Xenopus tropicalis: one gene and its partners. The protein of the gene in region 3 interacts with the protein of the main gene of each other region in a pairwise test. Links are inferred from orthologs where the notes say so. Each region holds a gene or a part of one and is shown on either strand. Other genes may lie near its edges. The genes, in order: clasrp, mbnl1, dab1 and lnx1.

Evidence for each region.
Region 1: the proteins of dab1 (region 3) and clasrp interact in a two-hybrid assay, tested with the Homo sapiens proteins (2 studies listed by BioGRID and IntAct). The link is inferred for Xenopus tropicalis from reciprocal best matches to the Homo sapiens genes DAB1 and CLASRP.
Region 2: the proteins of dab1 (region 3) and mbnl1 interact in binary tests that used the Homo sapiens proteins (3 or more experiments, as listed by UniProt). The link is inferred for Xenopus tropicalis from reciprocal best matches to the Homo sapiens genes DAB1 and MBNL1.
Region 4: the proteins of dab1 (region 3) and lnx1 interact in binary tests that used the Homo sapiens proteins (3 or more experiments, as listed by UniProt). The link is inferred for Xenopus tropicalis from reciprocal best matches to the Homo sapiens genes DAB1 and LNX1.

The regions. Positions count from the first base shown.
Region 1 is NC_030684.2:71,269,597-71,273,168, reverse strand, and holds part of clasrp (CLK4-associating serine/arginine rich protein), read left to right. Parts: intron 1-358; coding exon 359-460; intron 461-2,418; coding exon 2,419-2,498; intron 2,499-3,572. UniProt on the Homo sapiens protein: Probably functions as an alternative splicing regulator. May regulate the mRNA splicing of genes such as CLK1. May act by regulating members of the CLK kinase family.
Region 2 is NC_030681.2:117,529,073-117,532,644, forward strand, and holds part of mbnl1 (muscleblind-like protein 1), read right to left. Parts: intron 566-3,572; coding exon 365-565; intron 1-364. UniProt on the Homo sapiens protein: Mediates pre-mRNA alternative splicing regulation. Acts either as activator or repressor of splicing on specific pre-mRNA targets. Inhibits cardiac troponin-T (TNNT2) pre-mRNA exon inclusion but induces insulin receptor (IR) pre-mRNA exon inclusion in muscle.
Region 3 is NC_030680.2:87,453,369-87,456,940, reverse strand, and holds part of dab1 (disabled homolog 1), read right to left. Parts: intron 2,828-3,572; coding exon 2,700-2,827; intron 2,268-2,699; coding exon 2,187-2,267; 3' UTR 2,172-2,186; intron 1-2,171. UniProt on the Homo sapiens protein: Signaling adapter of the reelin-mediated signaling pathway, which regulates the migration and differentiation of postmitotic neurons during brain development.
Region 4 is NC_030677.2:39,804,289-39,807,860, reverse strand, and holds part of lnx1 (E3 ubiquitin-protein ligase LNX), read left to right. Parts: intron 1-2,107; exon of another isoform or gene 2,108-2,129; intron 2,130-2,795; 5' UTR 2,796-2,847; coding exon 2,848-3,242; intron 3,243-3,572.

The DNA of each region.
Region 1 (3,572 bases), on a different chromosome or scaffold from region 3:
CTATTCTAATTGTCTGTAAATATGCTTTTTACTACATGACACAATTCAGTGGTAACTATTATAAAAATGGGGGAGGGTAAATTTACTCTTAATATAAAACATGAAAATCTAATTTGTTTTTATTGTAAGTAGTATGCTTCCCCCTTCCAGCTCTAAGGAATAACTTCCCTGTTTAAACATAGAATGCAGCACACTGATCACTCATTAAAAAAGGGCTCCCATTCCCGTGCCTTCCTAATTTGAAAGACTGTTTTTAACAAAGTGATGATGAACTGGATGGGGGATTCTGCTTTTCTGGTTTATTAAATGAGTGTAATGAATCAAATTTGAAATGTGCCTAACATTTTTATTTTGCTAGGATGCCATGGCAAGGGGATCCCAATAACATGATTGACCGCTTTGATGTGCGAGCTCACCTTGATTATATTCCGGAGTATAAACCCCCTCTGCTGACAACAATGTAAGGCAAAGCATGGCACATATATATAAAAAAAAGTGGGAAAAAATCGCATTATATCCAAAAATTTCGCATCACGATCATACAAAAATATTGTGGTACGATCTGAAAGTTCTGAAATTTTCGTATCCGAATGATTGTAAGCGGTGTGAAAAACTTTCTGACTTTGATCCTTCAGTGCATGAATTTGGAAGCCTCCCATAGGACTCAATGGAACTCTGCAGCTCCAACCTGGCCAAAGGAAAGTCACGATACCGAAGATGGAATAATTCCAAAACTTGTTTGTTTTGTCGCATAAATTCTCGCAAAGTATGAAAAAGTAGCACAAATTAAAAAATTTCGTATAAAATATGCACAGTTCTAAAACTTAGAAGAAATACGAATTGTTAGTATTCGGACTCAAACGTACATTGATGAATGGGCCCCTTAGTGTATCTTTCACCTTTATTGACCCACATTAATTAAAACACAAAAATATGTCAGATATATATTTTATAATATTTTTAGAATAGATTTTATAATATTGTTGAGGTTATTGATTTGGTTTATGCTTAAATAAATAAACCTTAAATACTTATCACTTTTAGCAAAGACAGGGATACTGGGGGATGCCAGTTTCTTCACAGCGATTACATTAAGTAACCTTGGACCCTGGCCAGTTCTCTTCTTCACTGTAAAAGCACACTGGCCCAGGGTATATTCACATAAGCACCATCTTTAGTGACTTCTGGCAGTGCTTCCTATGGGATTTTAATTAGTGTATTTATCAATTGGTGAACTTGAACTTTTACCTATTTATTTATATATAATTTTTAAAAATCCCATAGGAATCAATAGAACGTGGGTGAGTTTTTATTACGTTTATTATTTAGCTCTAAACTCACATTTTGATGACCCTACTATTTTAAAAATGTGCATGGTCCTGGAGAGCTGCTGGATTTCACTGAAGATGCAGCATGATGCTGGAAGAAATGCACTCCAGGTTGAAGTGTTTTTAAGTGAAAAGATGCACTGGCCCAACATCAGAGGGAGGATTGAAAATTTTCGTAGTTGTTTGCAGGACCAAACAGATGGCTTTCCTAGCTTCAACTAGACTTTACTTGAAATGGTCATTTTCGTTGATGGATAAGCTTGGTCCTACAGTAACAAAAAGATCTTTTAAAAATCTTAACGTGCATGGCCAGCTTAAGTCCAACTCTGTGTGGCAGATTTATTAAGACACGAATTCGAATCCCGAATGGGAAAAATTCAGATCGGATGCGATAATTTCTGAAGATCGCAAATATCACGAATATGCTTACGAAAAAATTGTATTAGTCACGATAATATCGCATTGGCGATCCGAAAGTCATAATTTTCATATCCAAACGATCGTAAAATGCAGGAAAACCTTTCTGACTTTGATCCTTCTGTGCATGATTTTGGAAGCCTCCCATAGGAATCAATGGCACTCTACAGCTCCAACCTGGCCCAAGGAAAGTCACGATACCGAAGCTTGAATGAATTTCGAAACTTTTGTAATTGTTGCGACAATATGATTTTGCCGCGTTTTTTTTTTTACGCACAGTATGAAAAGATCTCGTTAACATGCAAAAAAATCGGCAAAAATACACAAGGAACGAAAAAGTCGCAGAAAAAACGATTAATAAATCTCCCCCTGTGTGTCTCTGCTCCAATCTTCATTTAGCCGCGTCACAGTCTTATGTGCACATGATTTTGCATCGTGTGGACACACCACCAACATTAACTATGCATCCAGTCAGAAATGGCTGATGACTTCAGGGGCCAGTTCAGTAAGCAGAAAGTAAGGTACAAAAAATGAATGGTTAGATGATAGTAACATATCTGAAAATGGATTCTAGGGATTTACTGTTATATTTCTTTAGTCTGTACAGTTCTCTGATTTGTCGAAAATTCTGTAGAATTACTAAAAATCGTTCTTCTGTTTTACACCTAAACAGCTCATCTGAGCAAGAGTCTGATGACCGTAAATGTAATTATGAGCGGTATCGGGGACTTGTTCAAAACGACTTTGCTGGAAGTGAGTATCTCTACTATATTTACATTAATTAAATTAATGAGCAAGCCCCCAAGTGCTATTTTCCATTAATTTTGGGGAATGTAATGCTATTTTGACCATTTAATGCAAGTTTCTGATTTAAGTCTAGTTGGAGTGAGACACAAAGGAACAACTGAGTGCTGGAAGAGATTTCACCAGCCAGATTGGGACTCTCTCACCCAGTCAGCTGAACCATCTGATGAAACGAAAGTTTATCAGATGTTCCCACCATGTTATCTCTGAAAAATACAATTGGTTCATCACATATGAAAGTGGGGTCTTTAAGCTGACTTGATCAGTTTGTAAGCTTTGCTTTGCAATTGTTCAGCTTTTAAATTCTGGCATTGTTGCTACAACTGTTAAAGGAACAGTAACACTAAAAAATGAAAGAGCTTTAAAGTAATAAAAATATAATGCACTGTTGCCCTGCACTGGTAAAACTGGGGTGTTTGCTACAGTAACACTACTATAATTTATATAATAAGCTGCTGTGTAGCCATGGGGGAAGCCATTCAAGCTGGAAAAAAGGAGAAAAGGCACAGGTTACATGGCAGATAACAGATAAGTTCTGTAGAATACAATAGTGTTTTGTCTGTTATCTGCTATGAGCCTGTGCCTTTTCTCCTTTGAATGGCTGCCTCCATGGCTAAATAGCAGCTTATTTATATAAATTATAGTAGACTTTTTGAAGTAAACACACAACTTTAACTAGTGCAGGGCAGCAGCACATTATATTTTAGTTACTTTTATACACTTTCATTTTTTGGTGTTACTGTTCCTTTAAGACCTTTTTGGCTTTTTGAGGCCCATTTGAGCTTACTCGTGATTGCCGTTTTAATTAACTGTGAGCAATTACTTTGTTTGCCTGCCCCGCATTTTAATTTTTATACGTACGGGACAACAGTGGATTTATTATAAAAGCCCTTAGATGCTGCATTTTGTACGGTTTATATTTATATTTTAAAGGTTTTTTTTTTTTTTTCTTTCTGGCCTAAATATTTTTTTTGCAATTGTTCTTTTACTTAAAGCATATACGCCATATTTGTTTTTAAAGCT
Region 2 (3,572 bases), on a different chromosome or scaffold from region 3:
ATCTGCCAGCAAAAGTATGAGTTGATAACTTTAGCTCCCAAACTCTGTTTTTTGTACACTATAAAAAGTATGTCTCTAAGTAGAAAACAATGAAAATGCTGCTGCCCTTACCACTGGGAATAGCAGATACTAATTAGGTCATTAGAAATAACTTGTTTAAGCAATTTCTTGTTAAGAAAAGAAAAGACAAATGATGTTATCTTGCGTCCAGATAATTTGCAGAACATTTTTTATATATATATATATATATATATATATATATATATATATATATATATATAGATATATAGCTTTTTTTTTTACTAAAGAGAAGTGACACAAGCAGGTGTGCCAGTCCTATTGAATTAGTGAATTGCCTCTTTACCTCTAGTCTGTCTGTTCGCATTAACTTCTGTGCAGCTGCGGCTGCAGCTGATGGAACTGCCACTCCGGGATTTCCTGTGACAAGCATTGGCGTAGTAGGAAGAATTTCAGCTGGCATGAGACCTGGAGAAACTGGTCCCAGGTAGGGGTTAAAGGCTGCTGTTGCACTGGTGGCTAGGCTTGGTGCGACTGAAAACATTGGCTGAAAAAAAAAACATTAGAATAAGTCACTTAAGGCCAGGATAAGGGTTTGTCTTTCTGTAGCATAATCTGCATAATACTGTTATGTACATACATTTAATTTGGTTTGTTATGGTCACAGAAATGATTGTTCAATCACAAATATATACAGCACAAATCAAACAAGGAATTAACTGTTAGTAAACTCTACCTAAACTGACCTCAATGATAACCAATGCAGGATGTTATAATTTACAGATGCTATATACATTCTTTTAATTATAATTTATTTCTGCCCTTTGGTTTTACACAGTCACAGTGTAAAACTGTAACATCTGTTGCAAGTATTAACGGACACTGGTGATTCCAAAAGTACAGATCTCCTTCAACAGTTTATGGAAACATCAGTGCCATCCTGTAACCCACATAAACTTCCTTCCATGTACAGCATCTGTTCCTACTGAACTCTGGTGGGCATTTCTTCCCACTGCATGCCATGTACTTGATAACACCCATACAATATGCCAACCTTTTATACTGAAGGCAGTAGATAAGATAATGATTTACATTTATTAACTGAACCCATGCAAAAGGGTTTATAGTAAATGTTAATTTTGTGTAGCAAAACAAAGGAAAATTCCATGTCTAGCAGCAGCCAGTTCTCCTCCAGGTCTTTAAGTACAGTCATTGAAGCATTTCAGGTGATGAACACATGACATAGTGAATTATGTCACTGACACAAGTTTTTCTTTCATTCTTATCTTCTGATTAACTCTTGACTTGAACTGACAAATATAAATTGTGGAAAACATTCAGCACTGTAGGTCTGGTCTTTATGGTATAATTGGGAATATGTGGCATCTAATTGCAAATGACAATTTATGGATCCCACCTATTAGGTTGATGCCAGACACACAGATATTTTCGGCAAGCGGAAAAACGCTTGGCGAAAATACAGCCCTACGCCTGCTACTTGTGCCTGCACGCTAATGAATGAGATACACTCGGGTGCAGGCACATGTAGCCGATATACGCATGAAAACGCGAGATAATGCGACTTTGCATTATCTCGCGTTTTCATGCGTATATCGGCTACATGTGCCTGCACCCGAGCGTATCTCATTCATTCGGGTGCAGGCACAAGTAGCAGGCATAGGGCTGTATTTTCGCCAAGCGTTTTTCCGCTTGCCGAAAATATCAGCCCTACGCCACGTCTGGCATCAGCCTTACCTGCACGTTATTAAAAGGTGTTTAGAATTAGCACCTTTGAATGCAAGTGGCATATGGGGCTTATATAGAGGGTTCTTTTGTCCAATTACTGTACTCTGCACCTTGCACTAGATGCTTTGGGTGCAAGGGTACAGGGGTACAGAGTACTGTGCATATTGGTCATTGATGGGTAAAAGTATGTTGTATTACCCTGTATTAGAATCTCTAGAGCAGTTGTTGTCTGACATTTTCAGTTCAAGCCCCCTTGGGAGTTTCAGGCTTTAGTATGGGTAACAGTGTACAGGTATAGGATCCATTATCCAGAATGCTCGGGACCAAGGGTATTCCGGATAAGGGGTCTTTCCGTAATTTGGATCTCCATACCTTAAGTCTACTAAAAAATTAATAAAACATTAATTAAACCCAATAGGATTGTTTTGCATCCAATAAGGATTATTTATATCTTAGTTGGGATCAATTACAAGGTACTGTTTTTATACTACAGAGAAAAAGGAAATCAGTTTTAAAATTCTGAATTACTTAATTAAAATGGAGTCTATTGGAGACAGGCTTTCCATAATTCGGAGCTTTCTGGATAACGGGTTTATGGATAAGGGATCCCATACCTGTATTAGCAATTTGAAATGTCTAAAACACAAGAGCTTTGGGACTTTGCCCTAATGGATATGATTCGCTCCCCTTAGTACTCAGCCACATGAATCCAAGCGTTGGTAATTTACCTCTATACAGTTTTGTACCCAGAGAGAGAGACAATTACCAAATTTGCTCAGAACAACCCTTTGGGATACAAAGCCATATGGTTCTGCTAGGTTCCTTGCTAACTTAAACGAGCACCCAGATGCATTAAAGGAGATGTCAAGGCTAAGTTTTAAATTAAGTCTAATGCCAAGGGCGCCTTACCCCCACCCTAACCGCATACGTACCACTCCACCACTTCCTCCTACAACCCGAACCGTTGCATTATTCCTTTTTCTGTTTCGTGTTTCACCCGACGGCCATTTTGACAGGTGAAGTCATCAAGAGCGTGCGTGTATGTTACAAATGCACATGTGTGCCTAGCCCCTCCTGCTGATCTCTTCAAGGATTTTTTTTAAGTTTTTTTTTAAACAAGCTTTGTTAACACGCACAACCGCGTTAACGAAGGGCCGGTACTGACGGCGCATGTGTTTAATAAGGCTTGCTACAAATGCACTTGCGTATACGCCAACACACCAAAGAGTGTTGTCTGGCAGTCTGTAGGCAGCGGTTTGTGAACACTGATAGCCATGGAGCACAACACTGCTCAATTATTCAGCACTCAGAGCCACAGCTATAATAAGGTACTGTTCTGCCCTTTATACACTATATTAAATTTTCATCTAAGGGGTTGACATGTCCTTTAACCCTTGGGATGAACCCATAAATAAAAAATAAAATAATAGCGATAACATTATAAAATACATTATCAGTAAACTACAGGTTAGAAAACTAAAGCAAAGCTTAGATTGGTGCAATTGATGCAGTGGCAAAATGTATTTCCTACATTAGAGTCCCATTATATGTTCAGACTGCTTTTGGGTTACTGGCAGGCACACTTTGATCTTACAGTTAAGTTTTGTGTAAGTTCAGCTATATCTGTTGTCCCAAGGGCAGCTACTTTGTGTCTGTTTCTGGTATTTCAAGAGCTGGCTGTGGAATCAGAAAAGGCATCCTCTGTTTAGGAACTATATTGCTTCTGTAATTGAAAGTTGATAGCCTCCCTAAAAACTTTAATTAGGCATTGTTGCTGTAAGATCACTGAGTGATGAGATGCGCTCAAG
Region 3 (3,572 bases):
AAAAAATGTTTGAAATGAAACCACTATTCAATAAAACATGATCTTTCTCTAGAATAGCTATAAGGGAGTTGATTTTATAAATACCAGCTTTTTCATTAAGAGTGTATGTACTAAAAGTTTTATTGTTAAATATCTCAAGGGAGTACCTTGACTGTAAATATAATGTTCAATTTTCAATACCTGAGAGAAGTACACTACATAACAATTCTTTCATCGAGATCTGAAAACTGCTCAGTGTCCCTTTTGAATTTAACTAAACTGGTGTAGTTGTTTTAATATTATTTATAGGAGTTTAGGATAATATTTACAACCAGCCATAAAGCAGGAGGAACTCTGTGGCACAAACTGTGTAATCTGCAGTAATGAAGAACACCCTTTTTAAAACCATGTCATCAGCAGGAACACTTACTGATGAGTTCAGGGTTGGACTGGGGGGTTCAGGGCCTACTTCCCCAGGGGCCCTGCACCCCCACGGTGCCCCCGCTGCATCCCCCATACACCCCATAGGGGCCCCCACCAGGACACCCTAAACCCCCACAGGGGCCCCTACACCCGCCCGATGTCCTCCTCTGAGCGCATGTAAGTGAAACTTACTTTCAACGCATCAGGGGAGGGACACCAGCAACAGGGATCGCATCTGGGCCGCCGGGGCCCACCAGAACCAGGGCCCACCGGAGTTTATTTTCCAGCCCAGTCCAACCCTGCCTGAGTTACAAAAAACCTACAATATGTGTTAAAATATGTAAGAAGTCATAAAAAGAGTAAATAATAATCTTGCAGTACACTATAAAGTGATTTAAGAACTACAGACCCAAGTGCAATGCCGAGGTGGAGAGCTGGTGCAGTCTTATCCACAGCCCTCCTGGTAAGCATATAACGACATTTTTGATAATTTCTTACCTCCTACTTGGAAAATACTTTTTCTTGTTTCAATATTGTTTGCAATAATAGTGCAGTAAACAAAGTGAGGTAAGTACAGATAACTTGTTATTTGAGATGGGGGTGGAAGAACCCAACTGAACACATCCAACATTTGTTGGATGAAATGGCAAGCCCACCAATATTGTTCCAAAATCTAGTGGAAAGGCTTCACACAAGAGTGAATGCTGTTGTTGCAGCAAAAGGGAGGACCAATTTCATATTAATACCCTTCTTAGCCACAACAATTAGCTGCTACTAAGTAGCTCTGTATGTCTTTATCCTAACAGAATAAATTAAGATCATGCGCAAACATGTAGTAAATAGTGGTTTTATTAAAATAGCCATTGCTTCCATTTCCTCGCTATAGCTTATAATCTTTTTTGGGGGAGGGTTATTATTATTTATATCATATATTGGTGTTTACCTGACACTATCCTTCCCAAAGTCACCTATTCCCAGATTGGCACACACTTCTATTCTGATTTAGCATAAGGTTCACTGAGAAGAGCAAAATTTTTCACCCGGCATGGATTCCACGTTTTGCCAGTGATGATTTTTTTTGTTTTTTTTTTTGCAAAACTGCAGCAAAATTACATTGCAAATTTTTTTTTTTTACTGCAGTGAATTTGACTTCAATGTATTTTTTGTAAAAAAAAAAGCTCCACCAAAAAATTCTGATTGACTTAAATACAATTTGCTAAAGAAAAGATATTGAAAAAAATACCCATTAACTTTAATGCGTTTCACCAATTTTTGCAGTTTGGCAAATTGTACTGAGGTTTCAAAAACTTTTTGTCAAAACGGGACAGATTTTCTCATCACTATAATTAGATAAGGGTGTAAATAAAAACAAGTGAGTAATGAACTATTCTCTCTCTCCCAAATGTGCTTTAATTAAACTGGCAGAATTTATACCTTAGTGCAGCCTATTAAGCATAACAACATGATGGCTAAACATATAGGCATTGGTAACTATACAGACAGTTTAGATATTGGCCTATTGATGCAATAGATATTTAACAGAACCATATAAGGTAGTAGCAAAATATATTTTGGACAAACCATACAGGACACAGCACAAACTAAGTGTAACATAAATGAAGGTACTAGGAATTATGTACAAAATGGAAAAACAAGCTTCACATTGGGTGTAGCAAAGAGATCGCGAAGAAGAAAATTATTGGAAAGGTATGAAACAAAGTGTGAATGAAGGGATACAACAAGAATAAGAGAAAGAGACAGATACCTACCGCCAGCTGTGCTATCTAGCTACCGACCTGTGGGCTTATAGCATCACCACTTGGCTCACCTAGGTCAGTGCAGGATGAGGCCTGAGATGCATCAGGCTAAAATACAAGAACAATAACACTCATATTGCTAAACAGCGAAAGAGCAGACAGTTTAGAAAAGAGCAGGATTAAAGCATTTCTATTAGTTTGTAAGAGAAGACAGTTTTATTTCTAAACTCTAAAATCTTCCTTTAATGCCAAATAAATATACTGTATTTAGTTTTGAAAACAACTCCCCATGTATCTTTCAATTCTTGTACATTCAGTACAAGCTCAAGCACAAAGCAGCTACCGGCTACTTACATATTCTGCTACAGCTAAAGAATTCACAGTATCAAACAACACTCCTGCCTAAAATTGCAGAACCAACTTTAAAATTTGCTTTCTTTTCTACATTCCTTTCAGCTTCTGGTATATATTATTGAGCAGAATGTATGTCAGTATCTTTGTGTTGTCTGGGGAATCAGCTTTTATCTTAGAGGGACTTACTGCATCTTGTTCTCCACTTTTACAGGGACTTTCAAAGCCTTCTTCAAAGATGTCATCAGGAATGGGATCGCTTGTGTGAGACGCTGAGGATTTTGAAGGAGAGCTCTGCCTCGGGGCTGGCGTTGGCGCTAGGTAGAGAGATGACATTGGCAACAATTAGCAGACGCATTCTTATAGCTCACATCAAGTGAAAATGGAGTTGCTCTAAAAATCTCTGTTTACAGCATATATTATAATGACATTGAGACGGAACTGGGTTTTGGAGGACACGGTTAGGTAAGGATAAAAGAATCATTTGTTAAAAGATAGATAAAAGAATACGGACTGCTATGGAATCCATATTTCATTCTATATTACAGATTTGCCTGCCAGAAGTTAAACAGACTCCATCAAATTCTTTTTGGAGTCAGTGGTTTGAAACTAATAATTTTCCTCTGCAGCCTGCATGCTGTCGAAACCTGTTAAGAAACATTTTTCATATGGAAACAAATACATTCATCATGTAGCTGTAGTTTATGCAAGGAAAATATTTAAACTTTCTTTTACATTGTGTTCTCAATTCATATTCAAGTGTTACAGAGTGACTTATCACTTAGCTTTTCTAATTAAAGTTGTGGTGCTAGTGGTAGCATCAACCGAAAATTGAAAAACTCAATGAGAAAAACCAAGTGTATGTGAAACAGCAGATGGGCATTAATATCTCTATGACAAAAAAACGGACACAGATTGTAAGCTCTACGGGGCAGGGACCTCCTTCCTACTGTGTCTCATACCACATGGCACTTATATATATATATGTATACATATATGTATTTATTGTATTTATTTATTATATCACTTGTCCTCCCTGTGTGTAATTTTCTATTCTGTAAG
Region 4 (3,572 bases), on a different chromosome or scaffold from region 3:
GCAGTAACCCATAGCAAATTAGTTCTGATCAATAGTTAAATGTAGTCATAACAAAGGTCTGGTTGCCACAGGTTGCTGCGCTGGTATAAAGTTCCACATACAATATCTTGAATCCTCCCTATCCAGCCTCAATGACCATTTTATTATAGACTTTCTGCCCTCCAGCTGCAGTTACAATACAACTTCCATCATCCCCTACTATCAGAGGTGGGGTCTGTTGACGTATAACAACTGATGGAGGACAGATGTTTGGAATTCCCTTTGCTTTGCTTTTTACAATCACAAAGATGCTCCTAATGACAAGTGAAACTGTACTGAATGCAGGAATGCAAGTTTGGGCAATTTCCAGCTAATACCATTATAACCTAACAGAAACCTGCATGTTAAGGCAAGTCTAAAACTTCTGCCAAAACATCTATAGATCAGAAACTTGGCTTTAAGGGAACGGTATCTTCCCCCGAGGGGTCGGTGGCATGTTAATTAGACTTAATTATTCCATGAACTTAATTCTTTTTTCACGTTGCTAACTATAGAATTAAACCATAGAATGTGCCTGTGCAATATCATTGCCCATGCTCTGTTACATGTATGACCCACAAGAGCAGTTGTGGTTGTGCTGTTGTTGCATGAATATACAACATTCCATAAAGGTGCGTACATCTAAAGTGTCTAAAGCGGCCTCTTGAACTCTCACATAGTTGCACTAAATGCTGTTGGTTATACCTCCTATTGTAAGTTACACACAGTGTGCCTATTGATGCAGGGGAACCAGTGGTGTAAATACTCTGCACTGGACCCCCTGCAAAAAAAAATTCAGAGGGGCTTGGTAGCAAACTCTACATGCCCCTCCCCCCCACAGGAGTTCCCCCGCCCACTTGCAAATTTGGAGACGTCCTCCTGAAATCGCACACTGCACTTGCAGTCATAAATGAGCCCCTATAATTCCTGGCAATGTATTAACTGATTTAATCTGGCTATTTTTATGTAACATTTCATGTTTTCTTAAGCACACCTCATAATGATACTTAACTGCTGTCATTAATGGGTGAATGATCTTATTTTATTACACTTCAATAATATGGTTTTATAATTTACAAATTCGCCAAAAAATATGTTTTCAAGTGGTTGTTATTGCTTGCATCTGTAAAAGTACATATATGTCATGGGCTTTCCCTAAACAGATTGGTGTTACAAAAGGATGGAAGTCTCTATGAAGGAATAGTAGCTAGTATAAAACTAGTACCCATGGGTGTGGCGGCAAGTCGTATATTTAACAGGAAATGATCCTCCCTAAACAAGCAGATATAAAATAATATTGCTTATCAAAAAGGAGGTCAAATATTTTTCAGGTTAGAGCAAATAAATACATTCATAGGAAATGTTCTGCCCATAATAGATTTTTTTGATTGGTCCCTATTTGTACAATAATCACTTATCCAAACCAGTGTATATTGTATACTTTGTGTTTATAATGAATTGCACTTTCTATCTCAAGACTTCTTTGTTCCTCTCAAAGGCGCTTTCAGAACACTTTACAGGAGTCACCCTTGTTTTGTGAAATAAGAGACATGAGATGTCTCCGTAAATGACTTTAGCTCTTGTATCGAGGGCAGGTTGAGACTGGCATGAAGATGGATCTATTCTTGTCTATCTGATGGAATGGATATTTACTTTAGTGCAAGGAATGTTACAGAATAATAAATATCCAGGGGCATTCATTTAAGCAGCCAGCATGAGGTAACACCCACATTCTCGATAAATGTAGTGCACCTTCATTATTTAATACTGTCATAAACACCAATTTGTACCTACAAACTTGTCTTAATATGAAATTGTGATTTGTGATTCCAGTAAATGGTACAACCCTGTTTCCAAAAAAGTAAAAATGTAAATGAAAAATGTAAATGAAAAGATACTGCAATACTTTGCAAATTATGTAAACCCTATATTTAATTGCAGATAGTACAAAGGTAACATATTAAATATTAAAACTTGTTATTGTTTTCTTTCTTATGATTGTTTTGGATGGGTGACAGGTCTGGGCTGCAGGCAGATAGGCAGTTTATCACCCAGAATCTCTTACTTGTTGTAAAGCCATGCAGAATGCAGTTCGGCACTGTCTTGCTGAAGTAAGTATGGCCTTCCCTGAAAAAGACGCTGTCTAGATGGCAGCATACAGTATGTTGCTCCAAAACCTCCAGCTTTAATGGTGCCTTCCCAGATGTGCAAGCCACCCATGCCACCACAGATGCTGCCTATTGATAACAAGCCATATGAGCTACCTTCTACTCTTAAGTATCTTTTTAATACTGTAAATGTTTAAATCCCCTACTTTTTATGCAACAATTTACCTTACATGTCTAAATGCGTATTATATAGTTTGTATTGATTTCAGAAGCAAGAGCATTAATAATCATCCCTTACTCCACAAACACCCCTGTCAAAATGTATGGCCAGTTATTCTTGTCCAGCCCTCTCAGGGAGTGATTTATTGTACTATTCCACAGATATGGGTAATATTTCTCTCTTTCTATCCCATTAAACAGGTATGTAATATATGGAATATTTGTAACCTGGTATTTTTCATTATAAAGGGGTCTTTCACGAATGTGGGACACGATGCATTATGGCTACTAAAACATTTCAACTGTAAAAGGGATTATTTTGCATCAACATAGATATATCATAATTTAATAAAAATCATGTACAAGGGCCTTTTTTATTATTAAGATATACAAAACTTATTTAGGCTATAGGCACTAATGTGTTTTGTTGTCTGTATTAACGCCATACAGGTTTGTGTGATCAAGATTGGGACTGAAATCTCCTTGCTCTGCACCCTACATTATGGAGTCAAATGATGCAATTGAAGAACTGGACAATGAAAAACCCCAATCACTGTGTACTGTATGTGGTCAACTGCATTCAGAAGAGGAGAACCATTCTTATACATACACTGAGGAAGTGGATGATGATTTGCTGTGCAATATCTGCTTGCATGCCCTCATACAACCGCTAGACACTCCATGTGGCCATACCTACTGTACTCTCTGCCTCACTAGCTTTCTAGTCCATGAAGACTTTTGCCCTGTGGATCGTAAGCATATTTTGTTGCAGACTTGCAAGAAATCCACCATACTTGTAAAAAATCTTTTAGATAAACTTCCAGTCATCTGCCCATTTAAGGAACACTGTACAGATATTGTTCAACGGTGTGACCTTGAGGAACACTTCCAGAACAGGTATGTTCCTTCTCTATGTCTATGTTATGGTAAATCTGTTTTCCAAGTCACTTATAACATTGTGTTTGTTCTAGTTCTATGACTATGCAACTGATTGTTGTTGCTGTTGAATTAATCTCCATTATTCTGAATTGGTGAGCATCTATGCATTTACAATAGTGCTGCCTTTGGTACAGGTTATAATTTTGTCCAGGTGTCTAGATTAGAAACCTCTAGTGCAAGAATCCCCAACCTTTTTTTACTTGTGAGCCACACTCAGATATAAAACGTGTTGGTGAGCCACACAAGCATGAAACAAGTTCTTTGAAGATGCCAAATAAGGGCTGTGAT